4 linked regions of the Oreochromis niloticus genome follow. The protein of the gene in region 4 purifies or fractionates together with the protein of the main gene of each other region. This does not show direct contact. Links are inferred from orthologs where the notes say so. Each region holds a gene or a part of one and is shown on either strand. Other genes may lie near its edges.

The links.
Region 1: the proteins of ncl (region 4) and hsf1 purify together in Homo sapiens (affinity purification with mass spectrometry; 3 studies listed by BioGRID, with this or other methods). This does not show direct contact. The link is inferred for Oreochromis niloticus from reciprocal best matches to the Homo sapiens genes NCL and HSF1.
Region 2: the proteins of ncl (region 4) and rpl7 fractionate together in Homo sapiens (co-fractionation; 3 studies listed by BioGRID, with this or other methods). This does not show direct contact. The link is inferred for Oreochromis niloticus from reciprocal best matches to the Homo sapiens genes NCL and RPL7.
Region 3: the proteins of ncl (region 4) and mybbp1a purify together in Homo sapiens (affinity purification with mass spectrometry; 3 studies listed by BioGRID and IntAct, with this or other methods). This does not show direct contact. The link is inferred for Oreochromis niloticus from reciprocal best matches to the Homo sapiens genes NCL and MYBBP1A.

What each region holds. Positions count from the first base shown.
Region 1 is NC_031985.2:36,095,758-36,103,317, reverse strand, and holds the start of hsf1 (heat shock factor protein 1), read left to right. Parts: upstream 1-4,556; 5' UTR 4,557-4,844; coding exon 4,845-4,964; intron 4,965-6,705; coding exon 6,706-6,814; intron 6,815-7,560. UniProt on the Homo sapiens protein: Functions as a stress-inducible and DNA-binding transcription factor that plays a central role in the transcriptional activation of the heat shock response (HSR), leading to the expression of a large class of molecular chaperones, heat shock proteins (HSPs), that protect cells from cellular insult damage.
Region 2 is NC_031974.2:20,236,389-20,244,140, reverse strand, and holds the start of rpl7 (large ribosomal subunit protein uL30), read left to right. Parts: upstream 1-4,736; 5' UTR 4,737-4,858; coding exon 4,859-4,872; intron 4,873-5,381; coding exon 5,382-5,481; intron 5,482-5,577; coding exon 5,578-5,744; intron 5,745-6,150; coding exon 6,151-6,288; intron 6,289-6,381; exon of another isoform or gene 6,382-6,473; intron 6,474-7,713; coding exon 7,714-7,752. Other genes in the region: rdh10a (retinol dehydrogenase 10-A), read right to left, coding at 1,903-2,138, 2,480-2,765.
Region 3 is NC_031975.2:24,293,235-24,300,398, reverse strand, and holds the start of mybbp1a (myb-binding protein 1A-like protein), read left to right. Parts: upstream 1-4,143; 5' UTR 4,144-4,218; coding exon 4,219-4,395; intron 4,396-5,111; coding exon 5,112-5,207; intron 5,208-6,477; coding exon 6,478-6,561; intron 6,562-6,643; coding exon 6,644-6,718; intron 6,719-7,002; coding exon 7,003-7,110; intron 7,111-7,164. Other genes in the region: tbl2 (transducin beta-like protein 2), read left to right, coding at 722-848, 1,205-1,357, 1,778-2,237. UniProt on the Homo sapiens protein: May activate or repress transcription via interactions with sequence specific DNA-binding proteins. Repression may be mediated at least in part by histone deacetylase activity (HDAC activity).
Region 4 is NC_031980.2:34,363,368-34,370,940, forward strand, and holds the start of ncl (nucleolin), read left to right. Parts: upstream 1-4,560; 5' UTR 4,561-4,728; coding exon 4,729-4,746; intron 4,747-5,798; coding exon 5,799-5,900; intron 5,901-6,004; coding exon 6,005-6,110; intron 6,111-6,532; coding exon 6,533-6,667; intron 6,668-6,803; exon of another isoform or gene 6,804-6,943; intron 6,944-7,025; coding exon 7,026-7,280; intron 7,281-7,501; coding exon 7,502-7,573. UniProt on the Homo sapiens protein: Nucleolin is the major nucleolar protein of growing eukaryotic cells. It is found associated with intranucleolar chromatin and pre-ribosomal particles. It induces chromatin decondensation by binding to histone H1.

The sequences.
Region 1 (7,560 bases), on a different chromosome or scaffold from region 4:
CGATAGGCCAATATCTGTTGGTGAAGTTCTACCTGCTATTCAACGTCTTAAACTTAGTAATTCCCCAGAAACAGATGAATTAACCTCTGAATTCTACATTACTTTTGCAGATCAACTGGGCCCATTTACTCAATGTGTACACTGAAAGTCTCATAAATCAGTCTGTCCAACCCACCACTTTATCAGACGGTCTGTTCACACTGATCCAAAGACCCAAAGAAGGATCCTGTTTATTTTGACAACTGGAGGCCGATCTGCCTTCTTAACAATGAGTATAAGATCCTAGCTCAGATCTTTGCCAAAAGACTGAAAGCTGTTTTGAATTATATTACTGATGAAACTCAGACTGGCTTTATGGCTAACAGATACATATCCAACAACATTAGACTTGTTCTTGACCTCTTTGATTATGCAGATTTTTGTAGGGTTGATAGCTTTATCTTATTTTTAGATTTCTGTAAAGCATTCAATACTATTGAACATAGTTTTATTTTTCAGGCTTTGGACAAATGTGGTTTTGGCCCTTACTTTCAGAATGTTATTAAAACGATGTACAAAAATGCTAATTGTTCCATCAAATTTCATACAGGTACGTCCTTTAGGTTTAAGTTGAACCGTAGTATCAGGCAAGGCTGCCCCATCTCCCTATATCTGTTTCTCATCTGTGCTCAGCTCCTCTCTGACTATATTAAACTTAGTCCCATGAAAGGCATTAGAATTGCAGAAAAGAAATATTCATTAGTCAGCTTGCTGATGATACCACCCTCTTTTTAAAAAGTGCTTCACAGATGCAGATAGCCATTAACACAATTGATGCTTTTTCTGTAGCTTCAGAACTCCACTTAAAGATCGGTAACTGTGAACTGCTTGCCCTCAGAAACTGTACCAGTCCCTCTATTGCTGGCATTCCAGTGACAGAGTACATCACTTACTTGGTATCCTCATTAATAAAAATCAGCCAACATCAATTTGGAACTTTATTCCAAATTTAAAAAAAATAAAAATTGGCGATCTTAACTTTGTTTTACTTACAATATTGATAAAATCCCCTTAAAACTGTCCAACTTTCATAAACAGATGCGTCTTTCCTGGTTGTTACTTTATAAACACAACTTTTCTCTGCGCAGATACTATATTTGGAATGACAGAGACATTTTATACAAACACAAATCTTTATTTATAGGTGACTGGTTTGTTCATGGGATTCATCTTGTTGCGGAACTTCTTAATCCAAATGGAGCTTTACTTTCTTAGATATCTATCTCTCTGTCTCTCTGTCTCTGTCGCTCTCTGTCTCTCTCTCTACATATATATATATGTATATATATATATATATATATATATATATATATATATATATATATATATATATATATATATATATGTGTGTGTGTGTGTGTGTGTGTATGATCTGACCCCTCTACCACTGATCCTGCTGTTACCTCTGTTAGACAGATCTGTTTTCCCAAAACAACCCAACTACTGGGACCTGGAATGGAAGAAAATTTGGACCATACCACTGAAATTCCTGTTAACCAAAAAAGTAAAAGAAATATCTTTAAAATAAAATATTCATCGTTTTTAACCCACCAGAACTTGTACGATATAAAAAGACATTGATGCTAACTGTTCATTTTTTCACTGTCAGAAAAAGATATTTCTCTCTTATTTTGGTCCTACTTATGCGCTAATCTTTTCTGGCAAGATGTTTGTGCTTTTGTTGTTTCTTTTATCTTATCTTTGTTACGGAAAAATATTGTTTGGCTTTTTTGATTGCCCTGCAAATAGGGCAAACAAATTTCATTTGATTAATTTACTAATCTTAAAATTTCATATACATAAATCCAAAATTTCTAATGCAAAACCGTCTTTTCAATGCTTCATAAATGAAACCAGACAATATTTTAAAACTATACAACATTCCCATAATATAAAAGCAATAAAACTATAAATTTATGCTCCTTGTTTGGTATCTTGTGATTCAAACCCTAGCCCAGAGGTTCCCAAAGTGTGGGGCCCGCCCCCTAGGGGGGGCGCAGAGCCATTGCAGGGGGAGCGCGGTATGAAAATAAACAAAGGTAGGTCTCCCCAGGGGCCCGTTCTTCGTACCTCGCTTACTACATCCAAGATCAAATGACACATCCAAGATCAAATCATCGCGCTAACTTTGAGCTCGCTAATCCGGTTCTCCGAACGCACCTGTTGTTGACGATTAGTATAGCTGGCTGAAGTAATCTGAGATCACTGGGTGGCTTTAAAGGGGCTACGCATCGATAGTAGAAACATTGATCGGCAACCCTGTGATTGGTCGGCGAAGATGTCGAAGGAGCGCGCGCAGTATCTCACGGCAGCAGAGCAAGAACTCTTGATTGAGGGATAGCAGGAGTTTCAGAGTTTAATTAAAACGCAGGGGAACACTGCAAAGGCTGCAAAAGCAAGGAGAGAGGGCTGGCAGAAAGTTGCTGACAAATTAAACTCGTAAGTGATCCGTGATATTACATTATATCATGTGATATTATATTATACCACAGTATATTATATTACATCATATCCTCTTTCACATTAGAGCCACAACAGGACCCACTAGAACATGGGAAAAAGTAAAAGTGAAATATAAGAATATTCTACAGAATGGTAATATTTATCACTTATATTGCTTTTAGTCTATGACAAGAGACCCTGGAATAATCTGTTTGTTTATAACAGCAACCAAGAAAAGGGCAGAGCAAATAAAGACAGGTGGTGGTCCTGCACCCCCTCGTCACACCCCTTTTTGTACTGTGACATTTATTGACATTGTGGGTTTTTATGTGTGTAGTTTGAATAACACTCCATCACTTTTACCTGTTCCCATGCAAGGGGTGACTGAAGCATGCACAGTAAGTCGGGAGTAAGTATATATATAGATATATATATATCTATATATATATATATAGAGGGAGAGAGAGAGAGAGAGAAAGGGGGAGGAAGAAAGTAAATAATACCCTCACGGGAGAATCGATATCTCTCTATGAGCACACCGTCGCGCTGAGCTAAAGGATCCCGTCTATCCCGCAATATACGCTAAATTCTGTAAACTCTCCTTATCAATCTTGCACCTTCCTTGCTCGCGTACAAACGGACAGGACATGGCTGCGACAGACTTCCCAAATCCACTTTCGCTTTTTTAGCCGTGGTCTGTCATCTTGATTGCACGTAGTAATTTACTATTACTACTCTAAAATATGAATTACATCTGACATGATCTACTACATGTAATAGAATGGTTAATAGTACATTTCCCTTTTTTTCGGAAATGACCTGTATGTATCTGTATGCAATCAATAAAAGAATCAAATGCTGCATTATCTTTAGTTACATTGATAATATTTATTTATGGTAAAACAGTGGAGAAATGTCGCTCTTGCTTTCATAAAACTGCAGCGGACATACCTGAGTGGCCGCGATCTAATCCTGTTTACATAAAGTAAACCTGCTCCCGAGCAGGCTTACTCTTACGGATCTGTTGCTATGACAGCAAGTCCCAGATGAGCTTCGGAGAACCGAACGATCCAAGATCACGCGAAATCGTCAACATTCAAATCCGGCTAACTTACTTAGCGAGGTACGAAGAACGGGCCCCTGCAGAATTGGTTTTCCCTGCGTCGGGAGCAGCGCTGGGCTCTCCAAATCACGGACAAACAGTATCCCACATTCTTGATTTTTAGTTCAGGAACACTTCTTGTAATAACTAACTACTCCTGACATTTTGGACATGTTAGCTCTTTATACAGTAAAGTTACAGTGGGATACAAATAATATCAGGCTGATCCTGCCACAGTTTGTTCCCCCTGTCCAAATCACGGACAAACAGTATCCCACAGCTGTTTATGTTTTTGAACCCATTTTGCACAGAGAGGCATTTTTGAAAAATGTATTGATAGCAATGTTGAATATTATTACACAGGAAAAAAACAACTACACGTAAAATAATTACACCATGACGCCTCTGCCTTTCTAAATGGAGGGACAGTAACTGCGTGTGTATATGTAAGTGTGTAAAACCTGAAGATAGAGACAAAATACTGTTACTGTTAATCTTACTATCTGCCATTCTGCAATTCATCTCATCTAAACAATAACGTGGCGCACACCGTGATGTGAAAAAAGGCACATACCTTTGACGTTGCGTGATGAACTCTGTATTCCTCGTCCACACGTAAACGCAAAAACGGAGTTTTAAAAAATCTCCGTTTTCAGTGATTCGAAACGCCGTTTACGTGCCGACGAAAGGCCCAAACGCATAGAAACAGCTGCGTTTTCAAAAATACCCATGTAGGTATGAACGTAGCGTAAAAGAGTTACTAGTGTATTTTATTTTATTTTATTTTATTTTATTACTACCTGTAATTTATCGCAGGATGTATTTGTGCGGTGGTGGTGGGGGGGTGTCTAATTGTTATTACACGACCACCCCTGACATTGTCTTTTGCTCATTTAAATCTGTAATGTCTGAATTGCTAATGAAGCTTAAAATAAAAAATAAAATCCGCCTTACTGCTCATCACATCACAGCGCGACAGAACGTTAGGGTTACGTATTGTGCTTACGCCATCAGACCGCGCTGGGCAGCTATCTGCGCAGTTGTGTTTTATCGGATTTGCGGAGTTATCGCGGCTCTAAGTGAAATAAAGTTCGGCACGTCTGTTTGCAGCCCCGCGGGGAGCTCTGAGTTCAGCAGCGGGACCAAACCGGCGCGGTCCGAGTCAGATCGGGGACCCGAGTCGTAGTTCGTTGTTTTCTTTCTGACGCAGCTAGCTGTTAGCGTCGTTAGCTCAGGTGTGTGCTCGATTTTTGTCTCTCAGATGGAATATCCCGGAGGAGGGGGAGCGGTGCTGAGCAGCGGGAACGTCCCGGCCTTCCTGACCAAATTGTGGACCCTGGTGGAGGACCCGGACACCGACCCGCTCATCTGTTGGAGTCCGGTACGCACGATAACAGCTAACAGCTAACGCAGACAAGTTTAATTTTATTTACACAGCAGAAACAGACACAACTTTATTTAAACTGGAATGTAGACAAGTTTGTTGACAAACTTTATTTACTGACTAAAAAAAAGAGGTCAGCTCAGTTAGCTTAGCTTCAGTGAGCTATTAAGGCTAACAGAGCTCACGTCAGAGGTCAAACGATATCAGACATCATCAGCTAGTCGGTAAATTATCAGTTGACAGTTGTTTTTCTGACAAACTGATTCCAGCAGCTGTTTTGGAGGTTGGCATAAAGCCTGAATTCAAATAAGCTGATGACTGCCTATGATGTCACTGTAGTGTCATAGCCCACACCTTGTACAGCTGCAGGTGTTAATTTCAGGTTGCACTGAAATCGGTCACTTATCACCAAAAGGTCTCCATCTTTATTTTCCTAATTTTTTTTTTTTGTTTGTTTATTTGTTTTTTTTTATTGCATAACTATTAGGCTCCACCCACAGCTGAAGGTCATGTAACACCAGATTAAAGAAGTGTCTGAAGTGTAATTTCCAAGTGTAGTTTAAAAAGGAAAATGCACCTTTAATCCATGGTTTTCATTACTGCGACACGCCCACCTGGAGGGCAAAAACAGTACTGCGGTCCTTTTCTCTCCACCTCCCTTTGAACGTCTTCTAGTTTAACTAGAAACCAAAATGCCAGATAGTTGCTGGGCTATCGGATGCAGTAATCAACATTTATTTACAACTGCCAACTGGCATTGGAAAAAGTTTTTTCTATTTCTTTTCCATATGGGCTGCCACCCACTCCAAATGTCCACCTAAGTGGACATGTAAAAAAACTATTTGAAAAATACATGTTTAAGAAATGAAGTTCAAAGATCTTTTTTTCATGCCTAAAGATGAATAAAAATACTTAAGAAAAAAATCCTGATTGAGGTTGTCATAATTCATGCATGAAAGGGTTAAGCTAGCTATGTAGCACTTACTTTTGCTTTAACAACAAACACTTTCTTGTTCTTCACCTCCTCCTTTAAATGAAGCTGCCACGGCAGGATATGGATCACAAGTCCCCCAAATTAATGGTTTCTCTTTATATCTTTATTTGGATCCATGGAAGAAAAACAAAGAGTTCACTTTCATCTGCAGTGTGTTCTGACAGTTCTGTTTAATCTATACTGATGTATAGATTACTGAGTTCCAATCAGTAATCTATACATCAGTGCCTGATGTGCAGGTGCAAAAAACCCTGAAAGTGTTAAAATAATCAATAAATTTTGAGCTGCTCAGAAACAGTCTGCTGGAGAGCAGACAGCTGAGATTAAAGTGTTAGCAGTGTGCTCTGATTTTCAGATCTGTTCCTGGAGATTCCTGAGCGTAAGAGCGTATATAGTCTCTTTTTATCAGTTGATTATAAGGTAAATGCAATGGTTCTTATACATTCCTTAATACTCAAGTACTCAAAGTGCTTTATACCCCATGTCTCATTCACACACATTCATACACTTTTTTTCAACCTGCGTGCTTTCTGTCTAACAGTCACAAGCTAATGAACGCATCAAAGAGGACCCTGAGCTCAGGGTTCAATATGTTGCCCAAGGGTACTTTGCCATCCAGAATGGAGCAGCCAGGGATTAAACCACCAACCTTCTGATTAACAGATGACCTGCTTTGCATCTTGAATCACAGCCACCACAATAATACAGATTCTTCTTCTTTTTTTCTTTCTCTTGTTGTATAAGAGTGGTACCAGTTTCCATGTGTTCGACCAGGGGCGGTTTTCCAAAGAAGTTCTGCCAAAGTTCTTCAAGCACAACAACATGGCCTCTTTCATCCGCCAACTCAACATGTGTGAGTAACCAGCAAGGAATCATCAGTGTGTTAGCCCCACCTCTGAACAAGCTATCGTTCAGAGGTGGGGCTATCACTATTTGGCAGTGTAACAGAAGGTTAGATGTTTTTGTTATTGATTTATTTTTTGGGAAAGAAGATTCATCCAATCAGGCGTGCTTTGTGAAGAAACATTGAGATATAAGTCAAATGTCTGGTGTTTAGCGGCTTTTCTTTGCTGCCGTAATTGTCATAGCAGCAACAACCAGTCCTCACAAGGCAAGGTAGCCTGCAGTTAACATAGCAGTTAATGAGCTAAGCCAGTGGTCCCCAACCTTTTTTGCGCCACAGACTATTTTATGTCCGACAATATTTTCACGGACTGGCCTTTAAGGTGTCGCGGATAAATACAACAAATAAAACGAGTATCAGTACCAAAAAAAAAGAACATTTATTCATAACACACAGGAAAAGACCCAGGGAAACAGAGTTACCGATAAAAACAGATAAAAACCCTGAAAACCATAAATTTCACACCCGAGCCTCAACTCTCATGGTCCGATACTGGTCTGTGCCCCGTAGGTTGGGAACCGCTGAGCTAAGCTACCGGTTTGTGTATATCAAGCTGATCAGTCATCACGACGATCTTTGTGCATGAGCAGCTTCTTTTTCTCCATGTCACTGAAGAAGTGCTAGTTGATTGGTATGCTGAAAAGCTGAACTTTTCTCAACATTCAGCAGAACCCTCTTTAAAAAAAGTAGGATAG
Region 2 (7,752 bases), on a different chromosome or scaffold from region 4:
AAAACACACACCAGACCTTTTTACGCGCACTGCTGAGACATCAAAATATATTAAAAAAAAGAAAAAGAGAAGCTTATCAGTATGAAAAAAAAAAAAAAAAAAATGGCAAGCACACTTGGAAACCTGCTTCTGTAAACTGATCTGAATAGCTGTTCTTGCACTTTTCAAATACAAATTCTCCTATAACATGCCTTTAGGGATAGCATTTTGTGAAAACATGTGCATTAACAGGTTTTTAAAGCCGGCCTAAAAGCCTTTCATGACGCGGACCTAAACTGAAGTTATTTGTTGAGTCAAAAACCACAAGTAAGCCGTTGGAGGTACCTGTTGTTCAGAAAAAAAAGGGGGAGAAAAAAAAATCAAAAGGATTCTGTAATACCTGCCACCTGCATGCAGTGACTAACTGCAGTGAGTTTGAAAGGAAAGTGGACAGTGCCTCTGTTAGTTTAATCTCTATTCATCTAGCTTGTGTCATTAATGAACCACATCCTCCATTCTGGCTGTCACCATTCATTAAGTCCTTCTTTCATCTGCTCCCCCCTCCGCACACACACACCTCTAAAGAAACCACGCTCACCATGGAATACAGGAAAACACAAACATCTATTTAAAAAACAAAACTCTACTACCAAATCACTGGACCCTGACTCCAAATCCTGGATTTAAAGAGCACTGAGATATCCAGCAGATGAATGCTTGAATGGGGCATCCATTAAAGAGGAAATCCGCACAACCTGCGTGAGCGATGCCACAAGAGATTTTTCATGCTCGATTAGGAAGCTTGAAGTTACTGTGGTTTCATGGCATGACTGAGAATGCCGTTCTCTGTAAACAACAAATAAAATAAAAAGATAAGAGCCTGGGGCCAAAGCCTGAAAAATGAAGATATTCTGGATCACTTGACAATATGTTGTGACAACTAAATTCACGCATGAAGTGGTGAATTCAGAACCAGTCTGCCAGGTGAAAGACTTATTCTCAATCCATGCGGTTTACTCCAAACAAAGCTTATAAGCCAAATTTACACAGTCATTGCTGCTGTTCCACAGGGGGTGGCTATAGTGAAGAAATGCAATCAATTCTCATTAAGGTTGGTCTAAAGGCTCCAAAAGAGTAAACATCCATCTTTAAAATGAATAAAGCTCTTTATTAAATTTCTAATAGCTTTGGCAGTCTGCAACCACAGTCTTCCCACACCCCAAAAACACACAGACACACAAAAAAACCTGTGATAGCGCTTAACTGGTTACACGCTACAGCTTATGCTTATCTAAAGCGCAGCATATTCACTCCATCAAGTCCACGTAGCCTCTCAGATAAGTAGTCACACTGAAAGGCTCGAGGAACGGAGCCAGAGTAAAAATCTGATATGCAACAAATCACCAACTGCCAGCAAAATGTGGTGAGCTGATCTAAGACAGATCCAACCCACGTACAGAACCCCGTTTCCATCACGCACAGTCGGTTTGTGCAGATCTGTGCAGCTGAGGAGATGAGACGGAGCCGCTGACATACCTCTGGGATCATCATCGGCTGTGGCTGCCAAAGCGGAGCAAAGGCAAAGATTTAAAAAAGCCAAACCCGTGACTTTCCTCTGGCAGAATGAAACCAAGTGGAGCTGAAATCTGAACATGCAAGGCAACTATTTATGGTCATAGTTTCTTAGGCCTGGAGGCACACACACACACACACACACACACACACCTTTGATTCTTGAGTTTGGCACAGAGAAGGATAAGATTATGAAAAGGCATACGAGTCAGAGTGGAGACATTCCTGTGAACCTGGCATCACAGTTAACACATTCAGCAACACTGTTCTCACTGAAACTTGGGCACACACATTATAACTTCACAATAACCTCAGTGTCGGCTTATTACAACAGCTTCTACATCGGCTCACCCAGAAGTGTGCGTGACAGTTGACCACCATGGTCCGCTCGATCAGCTCATCAGGACACTCCAGGAGGTGATGGCCAGAGACGACGCCAGCGTTGTTGATGAGTATGTCCACTTCTCCCACCTCCCGACGCACCTTCTCCGCTGTGGAATACACACTCTCGCGCTTCCCTACATCACACACATAGGTGTAGACCTGCGGCTGGAAAGGTGGGACTTCCTCTACCCCTCCAACAGGTCCTGCAGAGAGGGGGGAAAATAAAAGAGAGGGAAAGCAACAGATGATCAGTGAAAGTGTGTTTAGTAGGTTGATTAAGATTATGAAAGTTAATACAGCTAAATTAGGTGAAACGGTTTAAAAATCTACTGTCTCCATATGGAAGTCTCATTCCACTGTTTGGTTATTTAAAATGAAACTTTTGAAATCCTGAGGCTGTGTCCAGTTTAACTGACTCCCTCTGACACACTTTAGTTTATTCACTCTTACACTGATCAGGACTGCAGTGTGTGTTCCTTAAATAACACTCGACCGCTCAGAAAGCCGGCTGACAGCCTTAAAGCTGCAAAGAAAACACTCTTACCGTCTTTGGTTACTGGAGTGTCCAGTTCATGGTAAATCTGGCGCACCATCTCCGCCGTCTCCTCGTTGCTTTGGCTGTTTATGTCCCATAAGACCAGTATCGCTCGTCTCCGGGCGAACTCCTTGGCGAACAGCCGCCCGAGGCCGCTTCCAGCGCCGGTGATCAAGCACACCTGTCCCGCCACGCTTTTCTCCTTTGGCCGCACAATCCACTTGGCTCCGGCAGTTAAAAAAGCCCAGAGCACCTTCAGAATAACTACGAAGAACTCCGCAATTATTATCATCATCTTGGCCAAAGCTTTCTATCAATTCAAATAAACGGCGGAAGAGGCGCAGGGGACTGTTTCCTTCTTGCAACCTGTTTGCAGCAGACAGGATCAGGGAAACACCGACAAACTTGGATCACAGTGCCGGCAGGAATAACGGCCTATGGAAATATGGTTTAAAAGACAGAAAAAATGCGAAAGAAACTTAGGCGCATGCAGGACAGATGTATGAGTGGAGTGCGAGTTCAGATGCTGCTCGGTAAGAGTCCAGTTGCCACTATAACGCACAGTTGCAGTGAGTTATGAGCAGCTACTATCAAGTGAGCCTCCTACTTCCTCTGCTGCCTCTCCACTCATCTCACTCTGGAGCGCACCTCAGGCGCTATTTATGCTGTTCAGCCATCAACGCTGGACCCAATAGGAGGGGGACTTGAGCGCCTGTCAGAATGAAGGTGATGTAACCTGAAAGATTTTAACACGAATCTCGGACTTTTTTGTATCCTCAAGGAAGATTAGACATTAAGCTTCCCTCCTGTTTGAAAAGGTTGCTTATTTATGCGTCTCTGTGTGCGTGTTTGCGCGTTTTTGGAAAATCCTAACAATGTAAAGTTTGATAGCAAGTTATTTAAAGATATAATTAATCTTAACAGCTTAAACTCAGAAATCCACGAGCCACCGATCAGGCCGCACTGGACCTGCAAGTCCAGGTCAATGTCCAGCCATACGTGGAGCAAACTAAAATATCTTGTTTACAAAGTATTCCCACTTTACGTTATTATTATATGTTACACGTTATTTTTTCTGTTAAACAGAAACTACACTTAAAGTTATAAGCCAGCTCAAGACATATCCCAGCTTTGCCTGCAATGATTCCCTGAGATCCCCACGGAGGAAAGTGAAGTCGGTCGGTTAGGTAAGCCACGCACCCGGCCAGAAAAGTGATACTTCCACGCGCAAATCGTTACGCGATCACGTTTCTTCCTAATTAATATAGCCTAATTACCCTTCAATTATAATGATAATATACAAAACAGGCGCACACGAATCGTCTCCATTGTGAACACGTTCATTGCCGCTTTGCAGCTCCCCCCACACCTTAGGCTATTGTTTACACCTCTTCCAGGTTGTGCAACCTTTGCCAGCAGCCTCTCACTTGTGCTGTGCTTGTTTTGTGGGCGTGTCTGAGGAACAAACAGCTGATGGAAGAATCCTTTGTAGATTCTAAGGATAAAACAAATACGTGAAAAACACCTCCGGGGAAATGTTCTCTCCAAATGTAACAATGTGCCCAAAAAGCCAAGAAAATTACAGATAAATAAAGCACTCTGCTTTTTCAAGAGTATTAAATGATTGATGGGCTTTAACGCTGGCTCGTTTAATACAAGGCAACATTTTTAATATAAAACTACCTGCACTGGAACGGTCAAATTGAGAAGCTGACCAATGGCAAAGCTCTATTTAGGCGACGTTTCACCATTAAATTAAAACTTGTGTCTTGCATTTTGCCTGTAAAATAAAAATAAATAAATCAACAAATAAGTGGCCTTCAATCGAGTCTATATCTTTTTATGATTTTTTTTCATAACCTCCTGGGACAGGGTCTGTTATACAGCCTGAAGCAAAGTGCTGGGCGGGAGTTTCAACGCTACAGGCGCTCTCTGATCGTGCTTTGCAAAATGAAGTGTTTGCGCCCTCTGCTGGTCAGATGGCTGCATAACGCCACCTGTAGCACGGAAGTCGGGCAAAGTAGCGTTTAGATTAATTTAAAAAAAAACGAAAAGAAAAAAAGAAACAATATAAAATAATGTATTAAAAATAAGGCCAGGTAGGTCTACATCAGAATACGTATTATAGCGTCGTCTTACCTTTAAAGCGTTTGTTATTACAATAATATTCCTTGCGGTAGCCATAGAAAATAGTTGTTGATATATTAACCGATAAATTTAAGGGAGCATTTAACCAAGAGAATTATTTCAGTGGGTTTTGCGTAACTTTAGTTTTGAATACATCGCTAGAATTTATCCATCAGGCAGTCGGAAGGACGCTCCGCAGAGGTCCTAACGCTTTTAACCCGCACATGCGCAAATGAAAAAGTCTCTTTCTCGGTGATCGCAATGGCGGACGCAGAGTGAGTGTTTCCCTCTGTGTTAAAATCTAATCACATCCAGCATTAAACTAGCATCTGGTGTTAATTTTACAACGCGAATAAGCTATTTAGTTAATGTACGATAGAATAATAGCAGTATTGTTACAGATGGTGATTATTACTGTTGTTAGGGTTACTTTATAATAACTGAGTCCATATAGCTGAGTTCAACATGGCTGTCTCTTTAGCATCTGTGGATTTTACAAGTGTCCAGTTCTTATGGTTAAAAAAATAGTACTAAAATAATAGTCAGCTATTTCAGCAACCTTTGAGTTCATGCTGCTGTAAAACCTCTCTAGTCTTGAAAGCTATTGTATGAAGTAGTATTTACCTGTGTGGAAGCCGGCAAGTGACAGACTGGCAAGCTAGCAGCCCCCATGATTCAGTCATCGCTCGTTTCAGTTGAGCGATGTACATGTGTTCAGGTATCTTGTCCACCATCTCGCTTCGAATTTTTTCCTTACAGCATCTTTTTGTTAACGTTTAAACAGAAAAAAGGTTCCGGCGGTCCCTGAGAGCCTTTTGAAAAGGCGAAAGGCCTACGCGGCCATGAAGGCCATGCGTGTCAAGAAGCTGCTGGCTGAGAAAAAGGTAAAGTGAAGCTTTGTGCAGACAGTATTCCCGTATGGATGGAGATGTCGGATAGTGTTTTGAACTGCTTCAACGTGTTTTCCCTTTTGCATTCAGGTCCGCAAGGTGACCAGGAAACTGATCTACAAGAGGGCTGAGAAGTACCACAAGGAGTACAGGCAGATGTACAGGCGTGAGATACGAATGGGCCGTATGGCTCGCAAAGTGGGAAACTTCTATGTGCCAGCTGAGCCCAAACTGGCCTTTGTCATCAGGATCAGAGGGTGAGTGATGCGCACTGCTTGGGATTCCTCTGTGTCTGGCTTAAAAGAACTGCACAATCAGTTGCAAGGTGTTGTGCAGGCAGTGCCACATGAGAGGATGTCCAACTGCTGAGCCTCATACATTACTACTTTGTGTTTAGCTGCTCAGTTGCTTGTTAATTCAGTTGCTATTGAGAAGTCATTTTTATTGAATGACTAAGCCAGTCTGTGTGGATAAATACAGTTGAGTGGTTAATGATGCATGCTCTTTCCCCGACTTATCGACTCTGCTGATACACATTTGTAATAAAAAGCCAATAATGTTCTGAAACCACTCTAAGTAGCTTAATTAGGAAGTTGTACCTTGATGGTAAGTCCAAACAGTAATCACAATGGTTGGTTGTTGTTTGTTTGTTTTTTTCTTCAGCATCAACGGCGTGAGCCCCAAGGTCCGCAAAGTTCTGCAGCTGCTCCGTCTGCGCCAGATCTTCAACGGTGTCTTTGTCAAGCTGAACAAGGCATCAATCAACATGCTCAGAATTGCAGAGCCTTACATCGCTTGGGGGTAAGGACTGTGTCACTCTGAAACCTGCTGTTCAGAAATAAGAAGCGATGGTCAGGGGGTATTGGCACGTCTCTAAATAGGTGATACACTTGGAATGTGGTTAATGATGCTGAACTTTTTTCCCCATCATATCGACCATGGTGATTACTGACTGAAACTAAGCCAGTTTTGTCTGAAACCACATTCCATAGTGGTACGTGCCAGTGTGTTGACAAATGTGAGTGTGTTGGCTTCATACTGTAATAATGCAGCCAGAAACTTTTGTAACCTGGCATTTACTACAGTGGTCATTCACTGACACTTGAAATCAACACATTAAAGTACTGTTAAACAGTTTATATAAAAATAAGCCAGTGTCAAACTAAACGCAGTAAATGCTTGGCTATATTTCACAAAGCTTTAATGTCTTGATGTTAAAGACCCAATGGAAATGTTTTGTGCTCTGTGTGTTTGACATTACTGTGTGGTGCTGTAATGGAAGAATTTACCTGATCTTCACTACAACAGCCCTGTGGAAGTGTGGTTGTAACTTGGCACAGGAGTGAAGTGTAGGTTAGACTTGTAGTGTTTGCTTTTTGGTCACCTTAAGACTTCCATTTTTGATATTTATGTAGTTGGTTAGGGTTACTTCCTATCCGGTCATTTATGTCAGTCTTGTTTGGATGTGTCTAAGTGACACTTTTGATGCAGATAACTTGATCTGTATTGGTAGATGCAATATTGTTCCCAATGTTGTACTAGGTTACTAATATTTCTTTATACTATGACGGAGTCAAGAAACACCATCATCTGCCACTGTGTAATGCCTTTGTATTTAACTGTAGACTTAAGATTTTTTGCATGTTGTTGACTGTATTAACTTGGCACATCTGCATTTGGGAGGTATTGTGCAGATTTAATATTTAAAACTAAACTTTTTCCTTCATAAGATCTTAGCAAAGCAGGATTGTTTATAACACAGAACAACCCTATAGATGCATTACACATGTCCTGAAAGAAGCATCAAAGCTGCAGAAATTTGAATTGCTACCATTCAATCATACCAATTAGATTAAAACAGGATCCTCAGATTGGTCAGTTGAGTCTTGAGCCTAAATTTGAACTGTCAGGTTTAGTATCCAGGCAATCTGTAGCATTAATCCAATGAGTTTGACTAAATCTTGGGGAGAATTGCCATTCAGATTGTAGATCATGCTTCTTCCCCAAAACAATGATGTATATAATCTTTTTTGCTAATGAAAGTGCCAGGTTTGGAGAGATGAAATCTGAGCTCTTAATGTTTTGGGGTTCATAATTTAATATTTTGTAAATGCCTCTTAAATTAAACTTTTCTAATCCTATTTCTTTATAAATTAACACACGTAAATATCATTGATTTGTGCTCCTTTCATAAGCTGTGACCTTTGCTTTTTTTTCCCCCCCTAGATACCCCAACCTGAAGTCTGTGCGCGAGCTCGTCTACAA
Region 3 (7,164 bases), on a different chromosome or scaffold from region 4:
TCAATGTTTTTCATTAGCAATTTAGCAAAGTTAATGGTGGTGGTGTGCATGTCAGTGTGAGTGAAAGACAGAGAGGGAGAGCAAGCAACAGATTTTGTGTTATAAGCCTCATGTTATGGACGCACAGTGTGAGCACTCAGGTCACATCAGAGCATCAGGCCGTATAATGTGATACCCTGCATCGTGACCTACGAACTTCTAACCCCTGCGAATCAATCGTACAGTTTGAGCAGGAGCTGAATAATGCGACTGAAAAAAATCGCACAGTGTATGCCCAGCTTTAGTCAGCCTCTTGGCAGCCTAACGGTTTTAAGAAAAAAATCAACCCACCAACAAGCAATAAAAGTTGACTCTAGTCAAAGGAGTTTGCAAAGAAAAGCGTCTGGACTTCTTTAAGTTGCTTGAAGACGTTTCACCTCTCATCCGAGAAGCTTCTTCAGTTCTCTGAAGAACTGAAGAAGCTTCTCTGAAGAACTGAAGAAGCTTCTCGGATGAGAGGTGAAACGTCTTCAAGCAACTTAAAGAAGTCCAGACGCTTTTCTTTGCAAACTCCTTTGACTACGATGACCTGGATGACTGAGAACCTTCACAGACAAAGTTGACTCTAGTTTCACATGAGAAGAAAGCTGGCAAAAAAGGCTATATCTGTAAAACCTTATTTATTTATTTTTCAGTATTTGTCACCAGTTTATGGGGCTGATATTGTGTTTCTCATCCACAGGCAAGTTTATCATGAGTGCCTCCACCGACACTTGTATCAACATCTGGGACCTGAAAGGAGAGCTGCTCGCCTCTATCAACACGAACCAGATAACCAATTCTTATGCTGCCATCTCCCCGTGTGGCAGGTCAGTCCCACTCCTCATTTATTGCACAGCTTACACTTGAAAGCTTAGAAATGATATACATCTACTCTGTAAGTTTATTGTTTTACTGTTTCATGACATTAAAACAGAAAAAGTGTCTATAGGCAAAGTTTTACAGTAAGAGCTGTAGGTTCTTCTGCTTTAAATTGTTATTGAGAAAAATAAAGGTTTGAAAAGTCATGTATTGAATCAACCTTTTTCCCACATGTAAGATGATTTCTTCATATTGTTTTTACTTTTAAATTCCATTCAGTAAAATAAAAATCTAAATAAAAATAAGTGTTTGAATTGCGTGTCACTCTTTGGGAGCTCTGATCGTGCTTCGTCTATTTGCTCAGGTTTGTCGCGTCCTGCGGCTTCACTCCTGATGTGAAGGTGTGGGAGGTTTGCTTTGGCAAAGGAGGAGACTTCAGAGAGGTGGTGCGAGCCTTTGACCTGAAGGGCCACTCTGCTGGAGTCCATGCATTTGCCTTTTCCAACGACTCTCGCAGGTAATACGCTGCAATATCTGAGATGGAAAATGAATGGTTGTTTATAAGCTGAGGCAGCATAAAAAAGCCTATAAACGTTAAGCTGAGGGTAAAGAAGCCTGCTGCTGCTAACACTGCTAATGTTGGCACACTGAGAAAACTAATCAGGACAATAGTCTGACAGGGAGGCACACATTTCAGTGCTATTTTAAAATGCATTCTAAGTATCTAAAATCATTGCTCTTAAATTCACACACAGTAATTGTATGTAGTCTAACTCCATTAATAGTGCTTGGTTTTGAGTGTTTTCCTCTCTTGGTTAATCAGCCAGGAGAGCATCTCTGTTAATTAATTAGCTTTAGAGGTGGTGGGTGCATGAGGGTCCTGTGTTAAGCTGTGTTAAGCTGTGTTAAGCAGTAATGCTTTCCTTTCATTTTTCAGGATGGTGAGCGTCTCCAAAGACGGCACGTGGAAGCTGTGGAACACGGACGTGGAGTACAAAAAGCAGCAGGATCCCTACCTCCTGAAAACCATTCCCTGCAGCTCGTCTGAAGGCAGCCGGGTGGCCTTGTCTCCAGACGGCCGGGTGGTGGCTGTCAGCGATGGCTGCAACGTGGCCATGTACGATGCTGCCAGCGGAAAGCTGGAGGAGGAGCTGCACGGCGTCCACAGCGTGGAGATCACGGACCTTAGATTTGACATTAACGGACGCTTCTTGGTGTGCAGTGGCGACAAGGCTATCCGAGTGTTTCACAACGCTCCGGGCTATCGGGCTGCCATCAAAGACATGCAGGACATGCTAAAGAAGGCTCAGAACGAGGCCATGAAGCAGAGACTGCAGCAGCAGATCAAAGAGGCTCAGAGTGCCCTGGACGCTGTGCTCGCTGCCCCCTCCAACTAAACAGAAATAACAGGAAATCACACTCTGAATGTGACAGTGTCAGACTCTGCTAATCATTTGTTTGCATAGTCACCTCTGCCTCTTAATGATCTGGACTGTGAAGATGAGATTTGCATGCAATTTAATAAAAGGTATCTTTTTATGGAAGTGCTTCGTTTGATTTGAGACATTTGGACTTCTGAGTGTGATGTGCTGTGATTGTGTTTGATTTGTCATAGTTTGTGAAATTGGTCTCATAGTTCTTCAGAGTCACTATGTGGAAAAAGGAACAGATTAACAGTCCCTTTAACATCTAATGGCCACTGTCGGTTTGGGTGCTTCATTTCCGAGTCCAGGTGTTGTCTGTGCTGACTCACTGTGAAACTTTGAACACAAACTAATGTTAATGTTATTAGTCACACCTTTGCTTTTCCTACTGTGGTAGGTCAAAATTTCTGCTGTGAAAAAACAAGTTAAAAGTAATATTTTCCCAGAGGGTGGCATTGAAGTAAAATTCCTTTTCTGCTTATTACATCCAAAGTAAATCTTTGGAAATCTCCTGTTTGAAATCCTTAAAGCTTTATCTAATGGTATTGCTATTGAGAGCTAAAAATTAGGCCTCAGTTGACACCTGTGCACTCTCACATGGGTGTACAATTCGGTGCAAATACCATAAGAGGATTTGACTTCAGAGCAGAACGTAAATTGTGAGGTGCCTTTCAAGTACAACCAACTAAAAGAAGTGTGAGTGAGATGTCTGGCATCTAGAAAACACAGGTGAAACCACGTCTTTGGATCTGTGAGAGTGATGAAAAAAAAAACTTCAAAGTCAGTCAAACTGGGGAAGAAAAACTAGCTTATTCCTCAGTCCATCCTAGCAGCCCACTGAAGGTGTATTTGATCCTCACAAACAGATATTTTATTCCAGAGTTGTAGCGGGGAAGTCTGGAGTGTCCTGTAATCCCCAGAAAGTCAAAGCATATCAAAATAATCCTCAGGATTTGCAGAATTTGTAACTTGTTTTGAATAAAGGCATATATTTGATTACAGTGTGCTCGTGTTTGAGGATTTGGGTATAAAATACGACCTTAGGTATCTTAATTAAATTGTGCAGTCTGGATTAATTTTTGTAGCTTTAATAGAAGACTTGATTTTTCTTATTGTCCCATGACAGACATCCTGAATCTCTGTGCCCTTTTTGGTATTTTTTTAAGAGTGTCAGAATGAATATTTTGTAAAACATCACCAAAAAATAAATAAATAATATTCCCTTAAACAACATTAATCAGTTATTTCCCAGTCTTTCAGACCAAGACATGGACTTGTTACATTAATCAGAAAAACTGGGTGATCCAGTGTAATGTGTGGCTTGAGTAGTTTATATAAAGAATTCTAAGTCATTTATAGGGTGGAGAACAGATTCAGAATACTTTATTGATCCCAGAGGGAAATTGTTTTGTTACTGACACTGAAAATATAAATATGAAAGACTGAAAATATAAAGTGCAAATTTTAAAAAGAGTAAAACAAAGACACACAAAGTGCAATGTTAAATTAAAATAAAAATGTTCAAATTCTAGTGAAAATGTAATGGATGGACAAATAAAGGCAAATCAAATGAAAAAAGTGTCACCATTTATTTTAACCATTTGGATGAAAGAAAACTTAAAACAAGGCTCATGGTAACAAAAACATGTTGTATGATATTAATTAAATGTAATTCAATAAATAAATGCATTGATATATTTTTATTATTTAGCATTATTATTATTTGAATATGTGGATATATATGCTCATTTTAACAACTCTTTTAACAATATTATATTATATTATATTATATTATATTACATTCCCTTCTGTGAATCGCTCAATAAAGTTTTTTTCTTTTTTTCTTCTTAAAAAAAACATGGCTGGTGAGTTGACCCGGATGTAGTTTCCGTGAGTGAGGCACGTGTTCCCCCTGCAGCAGCATGAGTAGAGGTGGTGGTGGCATTTCGAACAGATGTCTGTAGAGATGGTGGAGCTCTCAGTGAAGGCGGCGGAACCGCTCCGGCCCGCCGGTAACCTGCAGCAGAACCGGGTCTTCCTCGACTTCTTCTGGGACCTGGCCAAACCGGATCAAGAGGTCCGACTGAAGGCGGTGGAAAACCTGATACAGTACCTAAAAACCAACAACAAGGTGAGGCAGAGTGCGATCGATGACACTGAGAGACTCCCTGAACGGAGCGTGGTCCCGCTGCACATGTACTCCTCAGAAGTTTTCCACTAATATTTTTAGAAGTAGTAGTTGTACACATAGTGTCGTATGGAGAGGTGGGAGATGTTTTCATATGTAACTGATTATATGACTGGATATCATACAGGATATCATTGACACACTGAAGTATTTCAAGTATCAAGAATTTAATACTCATATAACAGAGTCAGGCCTATATTATTAACATAAGGCACTATTACCGTAACTACCTGTGTATAAGTACTTGATCAAAACTTGTTAAAATACCTTGTATACTTTATAAGAATCAAAACATCAAATAAAATTGCTTAATAATATAGTAAACTTTTTCTTACCGTACTGCAAGTAGAAATACTGTAAAGCACAGTAAAGTATTTTACTGTCAAGGGTCAAGGTTTAATTGCATGTTTACAGTGGAACTCCATTACCCGTAATGAAATCCTTGGAATCAGAGTTTTATCTGATTGTTGTTGGTCATTAAACTAAACCCAACACTTAAATAAAAAAATATTTATTAAAAAGTGCAATTATAAAAATGTCTGAGTGTAGTATGTAGTATTTCATGTATAAGTATATTCCAGGATATATATATGATTCCACATAGTGTTAAAGTGTCTGTAGTTTAAAAGTTTTAAACAGTCTTTCTTCATGTGTTGCAGGAGGATGAGTTGGAATACACCTTTAAAAGGCTGGTGGATGGACTGGCTCACACACGGGAGACTGCGAGACCTGGGTTCAGCCTCGCTCTGGGGCAGGTGAGTGGAGTTTATCCCCATCTATCTTTGTCTGCGGACCTGCCTCTGTGCACCCATCCACAGCTTCAGCCACATCTTTGTTTCAGGGTTGGGGTTAATAAACACAGTGCAGCAGTTCAACACTACTTTTAATAACAAAAATCCTCTTTATTTATCTTCATAAGTGATAAAATTCCTGGATGTGGCTTTTATGTGCTAAGAGATGGTTGTGAGACCTGCTATGATGTATAGTTTGGAGACTTCGACTGACAAAACGATAGGAAGCTGAGTTGGAGGTGGCAGAGCCAAAGATGCTAAAATTTTCACTGGGAGAGAGCAGGATGGGGAAGGTTAGAAATGAGTACATCAGAGGGACGGCTCAGGTTGAGCTTTTTGGAGAAAAAGTTAGAGAGGTGAGGCTGAGATGGTTTAGAGATGTAGAGAGGAAGGATAGCAGATGTTTAATACAGAGCTGCCAGCCAGGAGGAAAAGAGGAAGACCAGAGAGCAGGTTCATGAGGAAGGAAGACATTGCAGAGCGTTGGCACGACAGAGGAAGATGCTGGGGGATAGGGGGATGTTCAGATGATCTGCCGTGACGACCTTTAGTTGTCAAAGATGAAGATGAGGAGAAAGAGGCAAATGACAAAGTCACAGAAGCAGATGAAGAAGACAAAGAAGATAGAGACAAAGAGAGAGAAGCGATGATTTGTGTGTAAAAGACTTATACACACCTTTTTTTGGCACATTTTTGTATGTACAAAAGTGTCACTATAAGCTTTCTATAGCAATAGGTTATGACATCAGCATGTACACATATACCTAATAAAGTGGTCAAGATGTGTTGCCGTTACTCTTCATTAAAGAGCAAAATTCAAAAGTCTAAGGAGGACATGTGATCATGTTAAAAGCTAACCAGTCAGCTGTAAAGCCCAGCGTTATATTTATCTTAAATGAGGGTGGTAGCCAGAAGTTTCCAGGGTGTCATTACAATTTTGTTTTTCCCCTGTCAAACATGGATATACCTTCTCTCTACCTGTGCTTCAAAATCCTGAATGAATCATCCTGTGCTTTCTGCCTAGCATGGACAGTCTCCCTTTATTTGTGTATCGCCTTCTGTACAGCGTCATGCAATTTAAAGTGCTAGTTTTACCTTATTTTAAGATGAGTATTGAACTGAATATATTGGTCACATGGGTTTCGGAGTGTGTACAAAATGCTGTTTTGCTGCTAGTGTTAGGAAGGTGCTCTATAATAACTGAGCTAAGCAGTAAAGTTTCCTTTATTTTTAGGTCTTGAGTGCCTTTGAAGATGTCTCCCTGCAGAGTATACTCAACAGAATCAAAGAAAAGCACAACTTGCAAGGAGCTAAAAAGGTGAGTTTTGGGTGTTTGGTATCTTTTAGCACCAAAATCGATGAATGCAATCTTTGAACTTGTTTCATCTTTCGTCTTTCAGAAATTTGCCAGAAATGCTATGTTTGGAAACTTGTTTGGTGTTCTCGCCATTCATCAGTCCAACCGCCTCTCTAAGGTAAGTTTTCTCACATTTTTAGCATACTTGGAAAGGTTTTTGCTGCATTAAAGAGGAGAATGTGCCTGAGACAATATATTGAAGACGCCTGCAAATATTTAAGGGATAGTAATCATAGGGAAAGCAGGGGAAAAAAATGATCATGGTTGCATCACTTTCAGGTTTTTGTACGGTTGTAAATTTCACAAGAAATTTAAGATCCAGGGAACAGAGGAGATCCAGGACAGCTGATGCTCTATCAAATACGTTGTGGTCTCTGAGCTCTCTGTCTTGTTTCTGTGCAGGAGCCACAGGTGGTGTTGGGATGTGTGCAGCTCCTGCAGAGCCTCAGTCAGCACAAACAACACCTGAAGGACCTACCCACCAAGACCATGACGGACATCCTCTCTGAGGTGACAGCTGCAGACTAGTTACTGCTATAAAAATGGTCTTTTTCAACAATTTTC
Region 4 (7,573 bases):
GCCAGAGTTTAACATTTACTAAAGATTTTATGCTGCTTGGATTTTGAAAAAGTGTTTCAAACATTAGCAAATATCTGAAACTCTGTGTTATCAGATAAAATGTTTATATGAAACAATAAGGATTTGTTGAGTGCTGCATCTATACTGCTGCATTCAACCTAGCATGATCTACCCACACTGTTGAAAGCTCTTGCACAAATTTGCTGCACAAATAGAAGAAAACACTGAAAATTTACATTTTGACTTAAAGCGATCTTTAGAATTCAGGCAATAACACTGTAATCCCAAACCACTAATTAAAAAGATGATAGAAAGCCACTTCCTCCTAATGTTCCTCTAATTCTGTTGCACATTACATCCAGTTACCAGTTGGTAAATTTAAGAGCGATATTATTTAAAATAAGCAGTAAATTCACCTTAAAATTATCCATCCATCCATTCTCTTATGCTTCTCCAATTCATCATGGGGAGGGGGGAGTAAATGGTAAATGGTAAATGGCCTGTATTTATATAGCACCTTACTAGTCCCTAAGGACCCCAAAGCGCTTTACATATCCAGTCATTCACCCATTCACGCACACATTCACACACTGGTGATGGCAAGCTACGTTGTAGCCACAGCCACCCTGGGGCGCACTGACAGAGGCGAGGCTGCCGGACACTGGCGCCACCGGGCCCTCTGACCACCACCAGTAGGCAACGGGTGAAGTGTCTTGCCCAAGGACACAACGACCGAGACTGTCCAAGCTGGGGCTCGAACCGGCAACCTTCCGATTACAAGGCGAACTCCCAACTCTTGAGCCACGATCGCAGGATGTACCGTAGGGTACATCCTGCACAGACAGCCAAACTGTTGCAGGAATAACATACTTTAACATTATATAAAGATGATATATAAGCAAAATGGCTTTTTTATCTCGTAGTTTCCAAACTAAAAGGCTTAAAACAAGACAAGCATATAGAGAAAAGGCCATATACGCGCGATATTAAAAAGGAAAACAAACACACCCAGATTATAATAAAGAAGCATAAAAAAGATAACAAATCGTGCTCAGTTGTGAAACTCTAAAAAGGTCCATTGCTCAAAGATTTCATGGTGTAATTACACAAAAGGGGGTGAGAGCCAGAAAAATACAGAGAGAACACTTTACAAGCTAATTAATACAGTAAAGTCAATGTAAAAGTCTTTTCAAGGATTTCCTTTCTAATACCATGAAACATGATATTTACGGTGTGAGTGTTGTGAATGTGTGCTGACTTTGAGGTTGATACCGATTTGCAAACTGGAGAGAAGTACAACTGACAGAAGCAAACCGAGAGTGCACGTGTACTGTGAAAACACATTTGTAATTATAAATTAGATGTGCTTGTCTCTTTTTTGTGAACCTATATTATTGACTGTAGGATGGTCAAATTCATAGTAACACAACTTTAAACACACACACATACAAAACAGGCCCTGAGGCTGTTGATCGGCTGGGGTTATCCCACAAAACCATTTCTAGGGTTTATAGAGAAGTTTCTAAAAAAAAAAAACATCCAGTGAGCAGCAGTTCTCTAGATGAAAATGTCTTCTTGATTACAAAGGATCAAGGCAGAATTGGAGACTGTTTTGAGCTGACAGGAAGGCAACAGTACCTCCAATAAACATTTGTTACAACTAAGGTATGCAGAAGAGCATGCACAACATGTTGAACCTTGAAGAAGATGTGCCACAGCAGCAGAAGACCGCAAAAGCTGCCACTCTTGTCAGGTAAGAACAGGAAACTGAGGCTATAGTTCACACAGGCTCAACAAAAATGGACAATGGCAGACTGAAAAAATGTAAACTGGTCTGATCGGTCATCATTTGGATGGTAGGATCAAAATCTGGCATGCAAGCATGCATCCATCCTACTTTGTATCAGTGATTCAGCTTGATGCACTGGTGAGAGGGATATTTTCTTGGCACACTTTGGGCCCCTTGTGTCCACCTGTGTATTGTTGCTGACCATGTGCATCCCTTTATGACCATCTTCTGAAGAATGCTTCTAAGAGGATAACGAGTCACAAAGCTCAAATCACCCAAATCTGTTTTTCTCAACATGAGTTCATTGTATTGAGAAAGCCTGTGCATTCACCAAATCTCAGCCCAGTAGAACACATTTGGGATGTGATGGATTGGAAAATTCACATCATGGATGTGATGCTGACAAACTGCAACAACTGTGTGACGCTATCGTGTCAATATGGACCAAAATCTCTGAAGAGTGTTTCCAGCACCTTGTTGAATCTATATCATGAACAATTAAAAGCAAAAAGGGCTCCGGTCCAACCTTGTAGTGGAAAGACATAACTAATGAAGTGGCATTGATGCAGAGGGATTGAATCTTCCCATTTCCTGAACATAGGGAGCCAGGGATACCCCTTCATGGAAAACATTACTAAGAAATAAAATGAAAGGGCTGTAAAGACAATGGGAAATTCTGTGCATCTTTCCTTTGTGATTTTGTATTCTTTTAGTACCATATCACCCCATTAGGGCTCTTCGCTCTCAGACTGCTGGTTTACTTGTTGTTCCTAGAGTATTTAAAGGTAGAATGGGAGGCAGAGCCTTCAGCTTTCAGGCCCTTCTTCAGCTTCCAATTTGGATTTGGAAGACAGACACTATCTCTACTTTTAAGATTAGGCTTAAAACTTTCCATTTGATAAAGCATATCAGGTGAATCAGGTGACCCTGAATCCTCCCTTAGTTATGCTGCAATAGGTGTAGGCTCCTGGGGGATTCCCATGATGCACTGAATGTTTCTTCTTCAGTCACCTTTTTCACTCACTGTGTTTAAACACATCTTTGTATTCAATTATCATTAATCTCTGGCTCTTTTCCACATCATGTCTTTGTCCTGTCTTCATCCATTTACCTTCAACCGGTCGCAGCAGATTGGTGCCCCTCCTTGAGCATTGTTCTACTGGGGGTTTCTTCCTGATAAAAGCTAGTTTTTCCTTCCCACTGTTGCCAAAGCGCTTGCTCATAGGGGGTCATATGATTGTTGCTGAAAGACAGCAGTGAATAATTGGACAAGAGTCAGAGTGACAGGAGGGTTTTTGCAAAGAGGCATACCTGTTCATTCTGCAAATTCAGCATAGACACTGCTGTGTAGTTGTATGTACCTTTGTTAACTCAATATGGCAATTTCAGTAGCTCTTTTTCTTTTGTTGTTGTTGTTTTTTTGTTTTGTTTTTTACACAAAAACAGTTTTTTCAGTTATACTGATATGCTTTAAAACCACCAACAGTGGGACGACTGTAATAACAGTCAACTACAGTTGTGATCACAAGTCCAGAATGTCACAGCAAGACTAAGAAAAGGGGGAAAAGTTGGACAGAATGCAACATTTTGTACAGGTAGACAGGTAGAACAATGGCTACTCTGTGAGCTTTCTGACTACAAAAGATATTGAAGTTCGAGAGAATGGTTAGATTATCATTATTTTCATTATTATCATTATTATTACAAAGAAGAAGGGACCAATAAAGTTACATTATCTTTCTCAAATCAAAGGTAGCTGTAATTCACTGAGACTAGTCTGTAAGACCGAGTGATGTTAAATGCAATGCTGCCTCTGTGTGGTGTTGAGGGTTAATTACTCAAACGTGCTCTTCATGTTGCCCTGGGAATCAGCCGGCTGGCTCCAGGATTCAATTGTGCAACAGAAAAACAATGTATGAATATTTACATTTAAAATTATCTACAATGTAAAAGTGGTAACTTAATGGCGATTAAAAAGAGGTTCATTCACTGCAGAAAAAAAAGCCTAAATATTATTATTATTATCATTTTAAATCTACCAAAAAGGCAACAAACACCTATTGCTTACATCCTTCCTGTGTGTAGTCATCCATGCAAAGGCAAACTCTGAGCATGGAAAACCCCTGCATAGAGGGGTTTTTTTATTTTTAAGTTTTATTTAAATGTATACAGTTACATGAAATACATGTACTAAAACTGGACTGAACTACTATGTATACCCCCACTTTGAAGTATTTAGATTATACTATACTATACTAGTTGGGAACTATCACTGTTCACTGTGTAGCGTGTACCTCGTGGTGGACTACACGTGGTTGATAGTTTGGCAACCGTGCCGAACCACGTGGCCATGTAAACAGCTGTATGGTATATGTGACAATAAGCTGTATATGGTTTATGTAGCGTTAAGTCCGGGAAATTGCCGAAAATAGTTTTCTTTAACATTTTAACTGTAAACATCTATAACTATACGTATATTAAAAACAAAACCATGATAATAATAATAATGATATAATAACAATGTAAATAATACATGTTCATGTTAAATACAGACTGTCATAACATTGACTTTAAAGGTTAAACACGGTAGATTTGACAGTGCTGCCTAGTATTTTTGTCATGTATTTAGTGATATAGTGAGACGAGAATAGTTATACAGTATTTCCTTGGAGTAGTAAAATTCAATGTTTCCTGTATGTGGGGTGAGGCGCGGGCACGACGCAAATACATTAGCTTGTGATTGGTAGAGACAGTCATGTGGGCGGGTCGGCGAGAGCGCGCGAAGAAGGGGAGTACAGAGCGAGTCTTCGTCGTCTCTGTCTTTCCTGTCCAATGTCCCATCGAGTAGGCAGGTCCACGTGCATACATTAGCTATTCTTTTTTAAATTCATCTTCAGACGTCCAGCTTCTCGTGTTTTATTGAAACACACAACAGCACAATGGTGAAGTTAGCAAAGGTAAGATTACGTCATTCTATTTTAAAATAGTGCGTGCGTTTGTGATAGAAAGAGGGCTTGTGTTTACGCACGAGGCCTTTAAGCAGAAGTTGGTGCGTTTGTTAAAAAACGGGGGGTGAACTCGCGGAAAAAGAAAATGTCCGCTCAGGTAAAGCTGCGATTGTCGCCTCTTTTTTTTTTTTTTTTTTTTTTTTTTTTTAAATTAATCAACATGGTGGTGGTGTTGCCGCATTTACTACGCCTTTTTCGTTTGCGATCAGCCATGTTTGTGCCTCGCTTTTGGCTCTCTGGCCTGCTAAGCTAAACTGCTGCTTAGTGTGGATTTCGTGCGCGCTCTCGATTTAAGTATGGCGTATAAAAAGACTTAAACAAAATCAATTTATAGCCAGCCTGCCAACCTGTACCAACATTTGTTAGAAAACTATTGTAAAAACCGAAAATTTGAGCACGCGGCTAGCTTAACAACTAGCATTAGCGTATTCATACCCGGACTTGATTCTAATTTCCTTCATTTTGTGGAAATAATGGTAGTTCTCGGTGTTAAGTTTAAACTGTCCCACTTAAACACTTTCTGTCATGTAATGGACTTTCTGGATAACTGTTCGGCATATGTTTATATATATATAATTCTTTTTTTAATGCTTGTCAGCAAATGGTAAAATTACCCAGCATGCTAGCTGACCGACCTCTAGAGCTCCACGTGGGTTCTGCGCCTGCTCTGAGTGACACACGAGGCAAGCAACCAAAACCGAGAAAATCCATCGGCGAGCTCATGTGTAATTTGAGTGGCTTATTTTAAACTCACGTGACCGTTTGCCGTTGATGATTTAAATATTGTACCAGCAGCACGGCTCTCCTGTTTTATATTTTAACCGTGGAATTCCACGTGGCCTAAAGCCCCTCATGTTTGCGGACATGCTGCAGCGGGTGCCATGATTGTTAGACCCTCTTCTTTACCGGAATCTATGCTTGGCTACTTGTAGGCTCCATTATTGTTGGGTTTTAAAAACATTGGTAATAACAGTTTTTGCATTTTGGGATTTCTTTTGAAGGCAGCAAATAAGCAAGCAGCTCAGAAGAAAAAGGCCCCTCCACCCCCCAAAGAAGTGGAGGAGGAATCCAGCGAAGAGGACAGCAGTGATGAGGAAGAAGAGGTACATAGACTTTGACTCAAGTATTTTATGGCTAGAAAAAAATATTTAAAATGTGGTATTAAGTGTTTTTATTTTTGTATTTTTTTTTTTTTTTAATACTGCAGGCTCCACCACCTAAAGCGGTGAAGAAAGCCACACCAGCCAAAGGCACCAAAGTTGTTGGAAATGGCACTCCTGCCAAAAAAGCAGAAAGTGAAGATGATGATTCTGGTAAGTAATAAAGGACCAAAACGAAACTAATTGAATGATACTCATATTTCACATAACTCACATAATCAATTGGGCTTTAATATATAGAGATTGACCTATTGTGTGTGTTTTGGTGTTTAAGGATCATCCAAATGTTAGAAAGTGAGTCCCTCGAACTTTGAGCGATGCCTGATGCATTTAATAGTTATAAATGTGTTGCTTTTGACATTTTAGTTACAACAGTGAAACAGATGGTCTTTAGAAAGAAAACCTTCGAAGTTATGAAAGCTGCTGTTTCCATTTAACTGGTGAATGTGTCGTGTTGTCCAAATTTATAATATACGTTCTTGATCTAAATAAATAGGGTAAAACTTCACACTGTACATCATTCTTAAAGTAAGCATAATATTGCCTAAGACAATTTTGCTATTTATCATATATAGATGAATCATCAGAGGAGGAGGCCCCCCCACCAAAGAAGACACCTGCAAAGGCAACTCCAGCCAAAAAAGCACCAGCTAAGGCAGCTGCTGCAAAAGCAGAGGAGTCAGATGATGACGATGATGATGAGGAGGATGGTAAGGCTTTTGGTATTGTGTGACTGATAGTAATTACTGTTGTACTGTGTTTTTAACAAAACTGTTGATGGCTTCATTTTAATCTGATCCAAGCATTTGTGCTAACAATCTGATGATGTAATGCGTCCCAAAACATCCTCCATTTCTTGGCATGCATGTGGTTGTTTAGTACTCATGTGTGTAATGTACGGAGGAAAAACAAAGACAGCGCTATGTCTTCGGTACCGGTGTGTATTTGACTGTCTGCCGGTCCTATCCTCAATCGCTGTTACAACCTAATGCCCTGTTTTGAACTCTGAAGAGGTTTTGTTGAAAATTTTCTGCAATTAAAACGAAAGCTCGTGTTTTTCTTGTCTAGATGAGTCTGAAGAAGAGGCCCCACCACCCAAGAAGGCAGCCAAGCCAGCTGCTAAGCCTGCAGCAAAGCCCCCAGTGAAGGCTCAGCCTGCAAAGGAGTCCTCTGATGATGACGACGACGATGATGATGACGAGTCAGAAGAGGAAGCCCCTCCCCCCAAGAAGGCTACTCCAGCAAAGCCAGCTGCCAAGGCTGCAAAGGCTCAGCCTGCTAAAGAAGAGTCATCTGAAGAAGATGATGATGAAGACGATGATGGTAAGACTGAGCCTCGCATTTCTCTTTTTTGTTTTTAACAGGAGCCATTGTCTTTGAAAATAGTTAACACTGTATGATGATCAACAAGGGACTTAATACTGATCACGTATGATGTCACCTTTTGAACTATCTGACCCACAGTAATACTCGTTTTCAATGCATTTGAATTCGGCCACAGTTACTGTGAGATTCACGTCATTGGCAATGATTCTGCTTTTTAGACTCTGAAGAGGAAATGGACACTACTCCTGCTCCAGCAGCCACCAAGGCAAAGAAAGCAGGCATGGTTAAAG